2 linked regions of the Rhinolophus ferrumequinum genome follow. The protein of the gene in region 2 interacts with the protein of the main gene of each other region in a biochemical or structural test. Links are inferred from orthologs where the notes say so. Each region holds a gene or a part of one and is shown on either strand. Other genes may lie near its edges.

The links. The genes of interacting proteins can lie anywhere in the genome.
Region 1: the proteins of TNRC6A (region 2) and CNOT1 form a complex in vitro, tested with the Homo sapiens proteins (2 studies listed by BioGRID). The link is inferred for Rhinolophus ferrumequinum from reciprocal best matches to the Homo sapiens genes TNRC6A and CNOT1.

Annotation. Positions count from the first base shown.
Region 1 is NC_046298.1:10,854,784-10,862,450, reverse strand, and holds the start of CNOT1 (CCR4-NOT transcription complex subunit 1), read left to right. Parts: upstream 1-4,667; 5' UTR 4,668-4,820; intron 4,821-7,667.
Region 2 is NW_022680357.1:18,042,526-18,049,575, reverse strand, and holds the start of TNRC6A (trinucleotide repeat-containing gene 6A protein), read right to left. Parts: upstream 3,015-7,050; 5' UTR 2,769-3,014; intron 1-2,768.

The DNA.
Region 1 (7,667 bases), on a different chromosome or scaffold from region 2:
TCCTACAGGTATTTGATTAAGGCAGGTCAAATCGGAGGAGTGGGGTGGGTGGAGCTCTGGCGGAGGGGCTGAAAGGGGGCTCAAGGGGCTCTGGGAGCAGCTTCAGTATAAAATAGACAACCGTTTATTTTGTACTTTCCTCCTACAAAAACAGGCTGAAGTGAGGAAAGGCAACTCAGATTTATTTCAATTTATCTTGTGAGAGACCTACATTTGAGACTTAAACTAGTTGTAGAACTGTCCTTAGATAGTTGACCTTTATGGGTATCACATTCTGTCTCTTTTAAAATTATTTTAAATTACACAAATAAAACATCCTCTTGGTAAAAAGTTCGAATACATAGTATAGTAATATATGGAATAAAAAGCAAAAGTTCGCTTTACCCTTCCTCATTCCACTTCACTCCCCAGGGATAACCATTGGTGTCAGTTATGATGTGTGTGTGTGTGTGTGTGTGTGTGTGTGTGTGTGTGTGTGTATCTTTCCAAAACCTTTTTTGCATTTAGTTATATGTAGATATAGACAGTTATTTTCTCCTACACAAATGGTAACATACAGATTATGCCATCGCTTTTTTTTCTGGTCACTTAAATTTTGTATTTAACAATATATCTTGGAATCATTTCATAACAGTACATATAGATTTACCTCATTCTTTTAAAAAGAGTTCATAGCATTCCACCGTATGACAATACCATACATTTATTTAACCTCTTCCGTATTGTTTCCAATCTTTTGGAGCCTCATAAACAATGCAGCAGTGGATATCTTTTTTTTTTTTTTTTTTGGTCAAAATTCACTTTGTTTTTTAACTTTATTTCATCGGAATGGGATAACAAAATTGGCACACAAAGGACACTGATACTGGGCCTAATTACAGAAAATGCCTCCAGATAAGTGGTAGGAAGATGAAAGAAACAAAAATAAACAAAGAAATTGGAGTTTTCAGAAAGTGAGTTCTGGGCCCGCCTGGTAGCTGGGGTGGTTGGAGCGCGGTGCTCCTAACACCGAGGTTGCCAGTTTGATTCACAAATGGGCCAGGGAATTGCGCCCTCTACAGCTAAGATTGTGAACAATAGCTCTTCCTGGAGCTGGGCTGGCGCAAGCTGCCACGGAGCTGTGTCCTACACAACTAGACTGAGAAACAATGGCTTGAACCAGAGTGGGGCGGGGGAGGGGGGGAAGAAGGGGGGAAAAAAAAACGAAAGTGAATTCAAATGTTAGTTCTGCCACAATCTATGACTGGAGATGAGTTGTCCTGTCTAAGCCTGTTTTCTCCTCTGTCATTGGATTTGAGATCACTCACTTTACCACTTTAACAGTCTGAACCAGTCTTTTGTCACTGGTATGTCCCTTTTTGGCCATGTGACACCACACTGGTCCAGGCTAAGGAGAGAAGGCCACAGTGGTTGAGTTGCTTTGAGGATCTGGACTTGGCTCAATAAAACCACTTGGTTTGCTCAGATCGGGCAGCCTGGGCCCAAAGCTGGGCCTGACAGTCTGGTGACACCACACCTAAACCTTAGGTACCAGGGAACAGAGGGATGAGGAAGGATCAGCACCAATTCTGGAGTGAGGAACCCAATGAAAATAGAGCTCTCCAATTCTGGTTCTAATTTTTCTACCCAGGCTGTTTTAAATCAGGTTCTTCCCAAATGAAAAAGATCTCAACTCTTATGCAACCTGTTCTCCCCCATCTTTTTAAAAATCTTTTTGTTTTGACAAACTTGTAAGAAATCAAGACAGCTTTTCCATAGGTGATGCCTCTTGGACCTTCATCTCCCTGATTGCCATTCTCCCATAACTAAATGCAAACTCTCCCAGGACTGTGCTTTGTCTTCCCAGTGTCCCAAATGCTCAATATGCTTACAGTAGATGCTGTTGAACAGGTGAATAATCCCCTCACCTGGACTGAAAGGCCGTGTGTGTGGGGAGGGGAGAGGGGTGAATGCTGATGACAAACCCTGGAATTAAGGTGAGACTCCTCATGAGTGAATATCTTGATACATTCATTCACCTCTGTACAAATTTGCAATATTCACTTGCAGAATAAATGTCTAGATATGGGATTATTGGGTCGGTGGGTCTGTGCATTTTCAATTTTGATAAACTTGGTCAAAATGGCTGCTATCCATAGAGGTTTTTAGCAATTTTTTACAGCAGCATTGAAAAGAAGGACCTTATTCCTCATCCTTGGTCTGTTAAAGAGGCCTTTTCTATCACTAACATTGTAATTCTATAAAGCTACTTCTCTGTTTCCTGATATTTCAGCACTTATTTGCTCATGTCTGCCATGTGCCAGGCACTGTGCTAGGTGCTGGGAATACAGCTCGGAACAAGACTAAAGCAATCCTTGTCCTTGCTGTATGTGAGGTCCTGAGTCTCATTCAGTTGCTTGAAAACACGAGACACGCAGTAAATGTTTGCTGAAAGAGTTGGCCTCGAACCAAGGAAAAGCAGGTGTCAAAAAGTACTTTTAGGTGAAATAAGCCAGTCACAAAAAGACAAATAGTGCATAATTCCACTCATATGAGATATTTCAAGCAGTCAAAATCTTAGAAAGTAGAATGGTGGTTGTCAGGGACTGAGGGAGGAAACGAGTTGTTTATGGGTATAGAATTTTAGTTTTGCAATATGAAACGGTCTAGAGGTCAGTCGCACACCAATATGCATCTAATTGACACCAACGTATGGTACACTTAAAAATGGTTAAGATGGTAAATTTTGTTACCTGTTTTTACCACAATAATAATAATAAAGTATGTTTAGGCACAAAAGGTAGTGCTTCTGAGCTTAGCCTCAAAACGGGGTGATGAGGAAGACACTTGATTTTTTATTTTTTAACAGGACTTTATTGGGGAACAGTGTGTACTTCCAGGACTTTTTTCCAAGTCAAGTTGCTGTCCTTTCAGTCTTAGTTGTGGAGGGCGCAGCTCAGCTCCAGGTCCAGTTGCCGTTGTTAGTTGCAGGGGGCGCAGCCCACCATCTCTTGCACGACTCTAGGAGTCTAACTGGCAACCTTGTGGTTGAGAGTCCACTGGCCCATGTGGGAATCGAACCAGCAGCCTTCGGCGTTAGGAGCATGGAGCTCCAACTGCCTGAGCCACTGGGCCTGCCCAAGATACGTTTTTTTTTTGAAAGGTAAAAGTGCCAACCAGTCAATGCTTCCTTTCCAGTGCTCCCGTCCTCCTCTGGGAACAGATGAGCATAAAATCTTATCATCTACTATAGAAAATACATTCTAGGGCCAGCCTGGTGGCTAAGGTGGTTGGAACACCGTGCTCCTAAAGCCGAGGTCACTGGCTTGATTCCCACATGGGCCAGTGAGCTGCGCCCTAGGTCTACAGCTAAGATTGTGAACAATGGCTCTCCCTGGAGCTGCGCTGCTGTGAGCAGCTGGAGGTTGGCATAAGCTGCTGTTGGCTGCTGTGTGTGCTGCCCTAAGCTACCGTGAGTCACCAGGAGTGGCCAGCAGCCACCATGAGTGGCCAGCAGCCAGAGTGAGTGGTCGGCAGCCAGCGTGAGCAGCCGGCAGCCAGTGAGAGCTGCCAGTGAGCTGCTGTGAGTGGCCCACCATAACCAGCGACTGGCTGCCTCAGCAAGGGGTGGGGGAGTGCAAGGCTCATAATACCAGCATGGGCAGAGGAGCTGTGTTCTACACAACTAGACTGAGAAACAAAGCTTGAACCAGAGTGGGGGCGGGGAGGCGGAAGAAAGGCGGGGGAATAAAAGAAAATACATTATAGAAAAAGATATGTTTCTATGTTTTTTCTCCCAAGAACAAATGGCACTGGTATCCTTTCTGGTACCGCTTACAAGGCATAAACCAAACGAGAATTTTAGCTTCCTATCTCTCTTTTAGGGGTCCCCTCTTCAACAAGTAGAATGAGAAGAAAAAGTTGTCTTGATGAAAGTGAGGCAAGCTAGGACCCAGTGGGGCCTGAGAGACTACATTCTCCAGCATGCACTGCTCCTCCCCGGGCGCAGTAAGTGACGGGAAAAGACGCATTACTTCTGCGACAGGAATGGGCCGGAGGGAGAGGAATACTGCATATCCCGGGACGCAGAACGTCGCCCTTCTAGTTACGGACTGGCTTGCTTTCTGATGGCTGGCGTTCCCCGCCAAAGGGACGCGAGGGTAGGGGGATGTTTAAGATTGGGAAGCCCCCCAGTCTACTGGACTTGACAAGTGGAAAGAGAAAGGAGTGAAGGAAGGCTGTTCCAGTATAATTCAAAGTAGTTCCCGCGCAGAGTGGCGAGGATTTATGGGGCCCCCTTCCTTATTTATTGTTTCTCAGAGGCAATGCCAGTCCCACGGCCCACAATGGTGAAAGACCTCCAGGGCAGGTGGGAAGTCCGTGAAGCCCCAAATCGAAGTTATCTGCGTCTCCCCATTGGCCTTCGCTCGGGCGCAGGCGCAAGGGCTCTGACTCCAGTCCCTAGGGACGGGAAAGCGGCAATTGGCCAAAGCCCTCGAAGTAGGACTCCGGATTGGTAGTTGCTAGCAGGAGCTTGGTTTCTTCCTTGACTTCTGCAAGTGATAGTGTGTGATTGGTTTAAATCCGCGGGCACCTAACGGTGATTGGGCGGGTGCCACGGGCGGGGTACGATCATTGGCTGGTGCTAGGACCAGCCCTCCTCGGGCGGGCAGCGAATGATGAAATGAGAACGGGGAGGGGAAAGGCCGCGACGTGAGCGCGCGACCTCCGGCGCCATTTTGTAGAGAAACAAGCGGAGTTAACCGAAGGAGGGGGTCGAGGAGAGCCGGAGTCGGGGACCCAGGAGTTTCCTGTGTCCAGCGCTGCCGGAGCCGCCTGAGGTGAGGTGGGCTAAGGCCGGCTGGCGGTGTCAGCTACGGAACGCGGGTGCTGAGGGGGGAAGGACTGGGGGTAGTAGTCCCGGGGCCACTGGGAGCGTTTACCGGAGCTCCGCGGAGTGAGGGGCGGTCGGGACGGGGAAGTGGCGAGACGGGAGAGGTCGGACTCTCTCCCCCTGGCTGGCGGAGTGTTTGGGCTGCGAAGAGAAGAGGCCAGGGCGAAGGCTCCCCAAAGCAGAGGGCAGAGCGCGGGGTGAGACCTGGTGGCCCTCGGCCCGGGCCTGGAGACTCTGAGGGCGACGGTGGCGGTAATACAGACGGCAGGGCCTCACTTCGCGCGGGCTGCACCCTCCTCAGACCCCACGAGCTCCTCAACTGCCTCTTTCTCCCTGGGCTCTCGGATAGGTGCAGTGGGCATTGGCCCCCGAGGCCTAGATCCTGGGGCGAGGGGACTGTGTTTGGAGTAGTTGCAGGCTCCCAGTTCTTTCCCGTCGACTTGGGAGCTGCCAGTCCCCCTCCCCCCGCCCCCAGCACGTTGTCAAACCCCGGGTGTTTCGGGTCCCTGCGGGTGGGAGGGGCGGGCGGGAGCGAGCACTTCCTTATTACTTCTGCCACAGGTTTTGTTCCACTCGCGCGCCCGCGGCTCACACTTTCTCCGAAGTTGGCCCCCACCCACTTGGTCCAGTGTCTGTGCTAAAGTGGCCGTTGTGCTCACCCATGGGAAGTGTCCCCCTAGTGAGCTGAGCCCTTGGAGGCCACGATACTGGTGAGAGATTTACTACAGGTCTTGGTAGGGTTGCCGAAGGCCAAACAATATTGAAATTTCACAGACTGAAGTGTCCTTTTTAAGTACCACCTCCTCCGCAGAATTCACCTAACCGGGCTCACACAGATAATTGCCACCACGAGGAGTAAGCTTTCTGGGTTAAAAACAGAAAATGCTTGATAACGGTGTTTGAAAATGTGTTTAAACTTGGAGGAGTAAACTTTTCCCCTGAAGTCACTCAATGAACTGTCACATTTCTCAGGTCTCTTAAAGTCAGTTTTCTTCCTGAAAGCTGAGTAATAATACTTAATCTCCACCTTCCATTATTTATAATTCGATTGCCTTGAGGGATTTATGTTAACAGTGAGTAAATAATTAAGAGAATATAATTTCAGTATTTTTTGCAAAAAAAATTTCGAGCATTTCCCTATGACAGTCTGATAGGAATGGATGAAAAAACGGGAGGACAAGTAAAAAATTTGGAAGTAGGTGAAACAGGTTAAGAAGAAACTTGTTTTTGTAGACATATTTGGTTTTAATGTTAGTGATCTGTGGCCCAGGTTGACATTTCTACCCTTCCAAAGATTGGCAGTATAGTATTTTAGCTGTTAATAATATATATATGGTAACAGTTTAAATAATCATGTTTTAGGAGACTGCATATTGTTACCTTGTCTAAGGAGAAAATGAGCTGATGATACATAAAGTTTTAGACCTCTAGTTGTGCTCTGAAATGGTAGCTTCTTGATAAAACTTGTTTGGAGAGTTTGTCCCTTTTCAACAAGTGTGGATCCCAAGTCCTATAGTAGAAACTTAAGTTTAGAATCAAGGCACAAAGACTTGACCATTAATAACTGAAAGTGTTTCCCTTTCTTGCCTAAGATTGTAATCTTAGAAGTTTTAAGTCAGAAGTTTTGAGGCATGGTGGAACAACTGAAATACTCTATTTCTAGTCACTAAATTTCTGTGAGGGTTTAAATCCTGTCTCTTTAACATGGATCTTGTCAGGCTAAGTACTGTGATATCCTCCTGACTTTGGGTTAGAGCATTGAAAACAAAACAAACCTGTGGGGACAGAAGAGGAAATGCTTGCTATCTCATCAAAACATGCTTAAAGACTAATGTCATTATTCTTGCATGTTGCTTTTTCCAAGTATGTTTTTGGTTAGATTCTGGTTTAGTTAGGAAAAGCTTTCCTTTTAACCAGCTTAAATTTATGAACTGGAATCTTTACTTCATTCTACAAAGTAACAGATCTTTGGCACTCAGTGCCCCAGAAGGGAATTTGTCCACAATGATTATAATTGAATGCTCATATATTTTAAGACACTAATTTTTTTTGTTAGATGCCTGTGCTTCTTGAATTAACAAGTATTGTAGCCCGTCATTTTGAAACACTATATTTTATGAATGTGGTATATTCTTTTATGAAAGAACAAAACTAACTTTCAAGTCATTGAAAAATATTAGCCAAGCATTTCTTAAATGGCCCTCTCACCAAACTGAACTTGCTGCTGGGAAGTTTCAAAATGGCATCCCACTGATTCTTATTTTAAGACCTTATACTGTATATAGAAAAATCCTGCAGTTCCCTTTTCTGTTTGCTTACAGTTTTTAAGAAGCCTGTTTCAAAATTAAAATGGCCTCAAATCCTTTTGTCCTGTGTATACACAATAGTTTATTTCAATGTACTTTTCACATATACCTTTGTAAGGGTGTAGTAAAGCAAATAAAACATATTGTTCATTGAAAAGCATTGTTTGAGATGTCAGTAATTAGAGGTGTAGACTTAATCTGAAATCCTCTGTTGAGATTGAAGAAAAAGCAGCTTTTGGGAGTGTAGACTTGAAGAAATGTGCTTCCGTTTTCTTTTTAATTTTTTATTTTTTCAATTGGGGAGCATTGTGTTTTACCAGGACCCATCATCTCCAAGTCAAGTCGCTGTTTTTTCAGTCTAGTTTTTTTTTGGTTGGGGGGGGGGGGGAGAGCGCATCCCACTGGGCCATGTGGGAATCACACCCTTGACCTTGGTGTTGTGAGCACTGCGCTCTAACCATTGAGTGAACCGCTCTAACCATTGAGTG
Region 2 (7,050 bases):
TCACTCCTGAACCCACTCCCACCGGGTTTCCATCCTCACCACCTCACCAGAATCGCTCGTATCAAAGCCTTCAGCTACCTCCACATTGCCAAGTCAGACAGACACTTTTCTGCCTTCAATGTTCTCAGTGTCTCAGCAACATGTGACCCAGTGGATAGGATGCTTGAGGTTTTTCCTGCTCTCGTCCCGACACCATCACCCAAAGAATGTTCTAATCAACTCCTTAGGAAATCCTATCACTAACCTTGCCTCTGTCCCTTTTCTTCAGCTCCATCGGCTTGGCTTGTTACTTCTACCTCTTAAAACAGGTTTCGAGTCTGTCCACTCCCATTCCATCCCCACTATACGCACATAAGCGAAAGTGCCTCCTAGGTCCCAAACAAGCCATCTACCTCCTTCCCTCGGAGTCTTTGCACGTGCTCTCGCCTCGTCTGGGACCCTTCAACACACTCCGAGGTCCATGTGGCCCAAATTTCATCCCAGGGTAACAATCGCACAAGTCTTCCTGGACTCCACGTCAGGCCCAGGTGACCCTGAGAGAAGAGAAGGGACACTTCTACACCACATTCCTGACACCCTCCTGATCCCTGTCCAAAACCGGTGCTCAGGCTCCCACGTGTTCTAAGCAGAAAACAGTCTGACATACGGCCAAGTCTAAGTTCATCTCCAATCACAGCAAAATCGGCTCCAGGCTTTCTCCTGGCTTTCAGCTCCTCCCATAAGAGAGGAAGACTGGAGCCAGCTCCCCATTTTGAATTCACAGTAGGCTGGGAACAAATAGATACAATATTTTGTAGCTCCCTGGTCGAGAGGTGTATCTCGCCATCCCTCGATCATGTGACTTGTCTAGGCCAATGGGACACTAGCAAACGATGGAAGCAGCTGCTTGAAACGTGCTTGTGCATTGGGGCACCCCCTCTCTTGCCACTTTTGGAACCCAGCCACCATATGAAGAAGACTGAGCTGGCTGGCTCCATAGGGAGACACGTGGCCCGGGCAATTTCAATTGCACCTGCTAATCAGGAGACACATGAGTGAGACCACCTAAGACCACCCCCCTGCAGCCAGAGGCACAGGAGGGAACCCAGTCGGGGTAAAGAAGAAGAAGGACCGTCCTGACTGCCAGCTGCCAGCATAACGAGCTATCGGTGTCTGCGGTGTCCAGCCCCTACGTTTGGGGTGGTTTGCAATATCGCCAAAATGAACGTATACACCTCTAGAAGTCGTCTCATGTTGCAGGTGTGGTTGTGCTACTTCCCTAGTTAAAATGCTTTCATCATTGCTCACTGATCCTACGGTGAGACCCAAGCAAGTCACTTAGTAAGACCTACAGAGACCCACAGAATCTGATGTGCTCAGCCCTGGGACTCAGCTGGCCCCAGTTCGGCCCTCACGGCCCTCACACATGCCATTCCCTCTGTCCGGACTATTCTTCCCGGCTCTTCACCTGGCGGACTCTCAGGTCACAACTTAAATATGACATGAGCAGAGGGGGCTCCTTTGGCCAGCTGGCCACCTTGGGCCCCCACAGAAGTATGTGTCCAGTTCTATATCCTCGTGGCACCCTACTATTTCCTCTGTGGCCAATACCCCCGTTTGAAATACCACCCTGCCTGGGTGATGGCGTGTTTCTGAGCTGCCTTCTCTACGGCACCATGAACTTGGCAAGGACACCGTGTCTGCTTTGCTCATAGAGGCAGCCCAACGTTTGCACGCTAACTGTCACATAGCCGGGCAGTCGAAAGTTTTTGAGGCAGGTCTTCTTCGTGGTCAGCTGTGCAGGCTCTGGATAAGAGCTGCCTGAGCTCCACCCCTTACTAGCTAGTGACCTGCTTCATGCCTCAGTCTCCCCACCTCTAACAAGGGGGTAAAAATAGCACCTACCTCCCCCCCCTTGAGCTGTTGGGTGCCTTGTGCTCAGTAATTGTTAATTATTTCTTGCCGAGTGAAGGCAGCATATCTGGACAACAGTGAATCAGAGGCTTCTGCAGCCAACAAAGTGCTTGCTGCGTGGCTGTGGACACTGCCGTGATCGCATGCGCCTCGGCCACCGCTCTGCCTCGTCCTGCCAACGTGTGGCCCCGAACTCTGAGCCAGCTCTGTGACACGCGGCCCAGGAGCCTGCAAGCACTGAGCGCGGCTGCTGCCTCCTGCGTTCTCCCGTGGGGAGTCCACATCCGGGGTCAGGGAGCAGCGTCCCCCAACAGCTGTAACTGCCCCTCCTGGTCCCCTAGCTCAGCTGGATCTGGAGCCCACGAACATCCACCCAAGAAACACATCTGACGGCGCCACAAAATGTGTCAATCAGCCTGAACACGTGCGTGCGCGAGCACCACGGGCACTGGGCCATCTCCGCGGTCTCCGCGCGAGAAACGTTTCACGAGGGGCAGCTGGCACAGCTTCAGTCCCCAAGTGCTCAGAAGCTGTCCTTGCAGGTTCTGGATGGAAAGAACATGAAGACCTAGGTGTCCAAGAAAATAAATGTAAGAGACGAAGGGGAGAGGACCTCGTCAGAAAAGCAGTGAGAGAGGAGAGAGGGAAAGTGGGGCCGACGAAAAAGAGAGAAACAAGACGTGGGGTGGAGAGGGAGACGGTGAGGGCAGGGGAGACCTCAGCGAGATGCGTGGGGGGGCCGCGCGGGCCACGGCCGCGCGGGCGCAGGAGCCCGGCAGCGCGGAGGGGCCGGGCCGCCCTGGCCCCGGGCAGGGCCCCGCCGGGGTGCCCTGTACGCAGCGTCACCGCTCCCCGCTCAGCGTGCGGTCACTTACCAGCCTGGGAGTCCGCGGGCTGCAGAATGACGGGCACGGCTCCGGGACGCTCCCTGCAGCTCCAGGGACGCGGTGCTCACAGGCTAGCGGGCGCGGGACGACGGGACTTCCATCCAGCCGGGCTCCAGCCCCGAGGTGGGGAGAGCCAGGCCGAGAGGCAGCGGACAGGAGGGGGACCTGCTGGTGTGTTTGTGTTTAAATTGTTTTCGAGCCCACGTAGCCCCGAGTCACATGCTGCCTCCACCATCACCGGACTCATCACGTGATACAGGTCCCCCGTCACGTGACGAGACGAGTCTGCCTAACTTCGGCCCCCGCCCCCACCTCCAGCTCACAAGCTGACAGATAAAGTGTTTCTGGAGGGGGCCCCCTACCCCCAAAACGCAGTGGTAGAGGGACGGATGCAGATGGAGACCCCTGGAGCCCCTGCAACGCTAAGATCTGGGTAATCGCTCTGCTGCGTCTCCCCCTCCCCCCAGCTTCTGCGACTTGGAGCAGTGCCAGCCCCATCCGATTCCCAGCCTTTGTGAATAACCCAAGTCTCGCCACCGCGGGCCCAGCAACTGCAGGGCGTTTGAGCTCACACCATTCCGCCTCGTTCTGGAAAGCCTGACTCTGGCTGCTCCCCACCCCGCCCCCACCCCTTACCCCCACCACTTCCAAGCCGCCTGAGCAGTGGGAGTGGGCGGCTGTGGGGGCTGAGCAGCTGCGGGACACGGGGCACCGCTCCCCCGAACCGTCCAGTCCCTTCTTCTTTTTTTTTGCATCTGCAGTAGGAGTCAGGTGGGGCCCCGCTGGCTCTGATGAGGCTGTTTCTAGCTATCGTAGCTCTGCTCTGTCTGCAGCTCTCCCTCTCTCTCTCTCTTCCTCTCCCTCTCTCTCTCTCTCTCTCTCTCTGCATTTCTAGTTTCTCTGCTCAATCAGGATACAGTTAAATAGATGTGGTTTAAAAATCTACTGGGCTTGTTTCCTCCCGTTCATTCATTCATTCCATCTCTTACTAACCAGATGTCCTGTAGAGCCGCCTGCTGTGTTGCAGGGCTGGTCCCAGGCACCAGGAAGGAGAGAGGGAGGAATGAGGTGTTAAAGAAATGTTAAAGAAATGCACACAGCAAGACGTCTGACCTTGAGGCACTGCGCTGTCTGTTAGAAGCAACAGAAACGTAAACAGACGTAGCAGATGCAAATTTGACAGTCAGATACTAACTCAGGCAGGCAAAAATGTAAACCCTTCTTCGTCTTGAGCCAAACTTCCTACATCCAGCCCCTCTGCCCCCATTCTGCCAAATATGAGACACTTAATCCAGTCACTTCCAAATAAACGCATCTGGGTGATTTAAAGTAAGTCAAATGAAAGATTTTTCTTCCGTCACTGTCCACCCTGGGGTTGAGTCTAAGCTCTGATACTCTCTCAAACTAGTAAACAAACTGTGCAGACCACTTTCCTGAGGAGGAGATCGTATAATTGTCACTCTGCAATTTGGGGGTCTGTTTGAGCAAAGGAGGCTCACGTGCAGGCAGCAGTGAAAAGGGCCTCTGAGAGGAAAAAGGGCCTTTTCCAAACCAGTTTTGTTCTATACCGTCCTATGCAATCATAGCAGACAAGGGGTCCCTGGCAGACCCAGCGGCCCGCCCCTGGGTCCACCTGTCCCAGGAAAATTAAGCATCTTTGTGGCTGAAGCCACTCTAGTCGGGTCTGTTACCACTTGTGCTGGACGCATCCTTGCGGAAGCAGCATCCCAGGAACCTGACAGCTGCTGGAGGGGCAGCGTCACTGGAGCTGTGGAGGTGGACGTCTGCAGATAGTGGGCCGAGAAGCAAGCTGGAAAGTCCTGTTCCTGACAATCTGGAGGACCAGATAACTGTGGAGAGCCTCTGGGTGAAATATATCAGACATTCGTTTAAGTGCATAGCTGAGCTCTCTAAATGGGCAGAAGAAATAGAGAACGGAGAGCTAAGCACGTGTGTTAACACTGTTATCAACCTGAGGGACTGGTGCTTGCTGGGAACCTGGAAGCCACAGGATGGGACCTCAGCAGGTGTCGGAGACACAGTCTCATGCCCGGGGAGCTGTGGCTGAAATCTCTACAGCAACGACAGCTCTTCAAGTGCTGTATCCTCAGTGAAAAAGTGGAACAGAAAAAAGTTTACCTTTACATCCAAGGAAACACAGAAGCCGCTGTGATTCGACCTAAAGTCTGGGTCAAGGAAAAAAGGACTCCTCTGACAATTAATAACCAAGGCCCATCCTCATGTGCCTTTGATATTTGAATATATACTACTTTTATGACCCAGGAATACCGACAATAAGAAATAACACGTAAAGAATGGAGCCTTGGCGAGGCAGACATAAAACTGACCCAGAGGCAAACTCCCTAGACCCAGGCCTCACAGAATTTCCACAGATTAAGTTCCTATTGCAGATGAGCTCATAATCCAAAATTATAAAACACCAGTTATAACACAGAAAGCACTAAGAGACAGAACAAGGACCAGGAGTAGACCCTATACATTTCATATAATAAAACAGTTGGATGGTGACTATTAACCCCAAAGCCACCACTAAAATAACACAATTGAGCCCTAGTTCATATGCCAACAGAGAAGATGAAATAAAATCATACAAATATTAATTTCATCTAAAAGAAAACAGATAAAAAAGGAAAAGGGGGAACAAAGAACATGATTTTAATCTATCTACATCAATAATCACATTCAATGTAAATGGTCTAAACACTCCATTTAAAAACAGAGATTGTCAGATTGAACCAACTGCATGCTAAAAGAAACCCATTTTAAACAGAAAATACAAATAGCTGAGAAAGAAGTGGATGGAAAAAGCTATCCCACGCTCACATTGGTCACAATAAAGCTGGAACGGCTCTGCTGCTACCAGCCATGGAGAGATGTCTACTATTAATTACTACAAGGGACAAAGGGGGGGATTTCATAATAACAAAGGATCAATAGCAATCCTAAACATTCATTCACCAAATAAGACAGCTTCAAAATACAGGAAACAGAAGTCACAGAACAGTAAGAAGAAACAGACAAATCCACCATTAAAGGCAGATATTTCAACATCCCTCTTTCAATACTTAATAGAACAACGAGATTGAAAACAAGTGAGGGTGTGGAAGACTTGAATACAACATTTTAACCAACTTCACCTAATTGACTTTTATAGGATGTTGCACCTAACAGCAGGATCCACATTCTCTTCCAATGCATACAGACGTCTACCAGGATAATCTTAGTCATAAAGCAAATCTCAATAAACTTAAATGGATTAAAATCATGCAAAGTATATTCTCTGATCAAAGTGAAATGAAATTGGAAATCAAAAACAGAAATAAGTCTGAAAAACCCCAAATATTTGGAAACGAAATAACATATTCCTAAATAATCCACGAAAGAAGCAAAAAGGAAATTAGAAAGAACTTTGAACTGAATTAAAATGAAACCAGCAGAGCACAAATAGATGTTACGTAAAGAAAAGGAAGAAGGAGAAGAAGAAAAAGTAAAAGGAGAAGAAAAAGACAAGACACAATTAAAAGACAGAAATTTTTTGGTTTAAAAAAAAAAGACAAATAACTCTCCCTCTATATGGGTGAATAAATGAAAAAAAAAGCTGTAATTCAAAAAGCAAACGACAATTATGTGGAGACTCACAGTTGCGTCCTCCTTCAGAAATAAATTAATTCTTCACAGACAACAACTGAAAGTTAGAATTGATGTCTATTTCATGTTCTCAGCAAGACTGACATGGGTTCTATGTAACTTGATCATAGTTGTCACAGAAAATGAGCAGCAAAGGAGGACAGAATGGACATGACAAGTGTGGTTTTGGGATTAAAGACACATAAAGGAGAAAGTGGATGGCAGGCTGCACACGCGGATGACTGAATTAGGGAATATAAATGGTGACTTCTTCCAATAGAAAGAGGAAACAGATAAAAAAATGACTTTTCTTAAAAAAACAAAAAGCTTATGGAAAAGGTATGTGGAAGACAAATCCCTTATCCACACCCTACAAAGTTACCAGAAGAGAGAATGAAATAGGTGGAGGAAGATGAGAAGAAATAAGGAAATGATGGAAGGAAAGTTTCCTGATCTAAGAGCGAACTTAGGCTGACCCAGGAGCCAGAAGTCACAAACCTAGAATGGCCTTGAAAACATAAGCAGCCCAGAAATTTACAGAATAGTGGGGAAAATGCTGACATTCTCCAGGCCCAATGTTCACTGATCGTGGAAGACGTGGCAAGCCCCAGCTGACATTTTA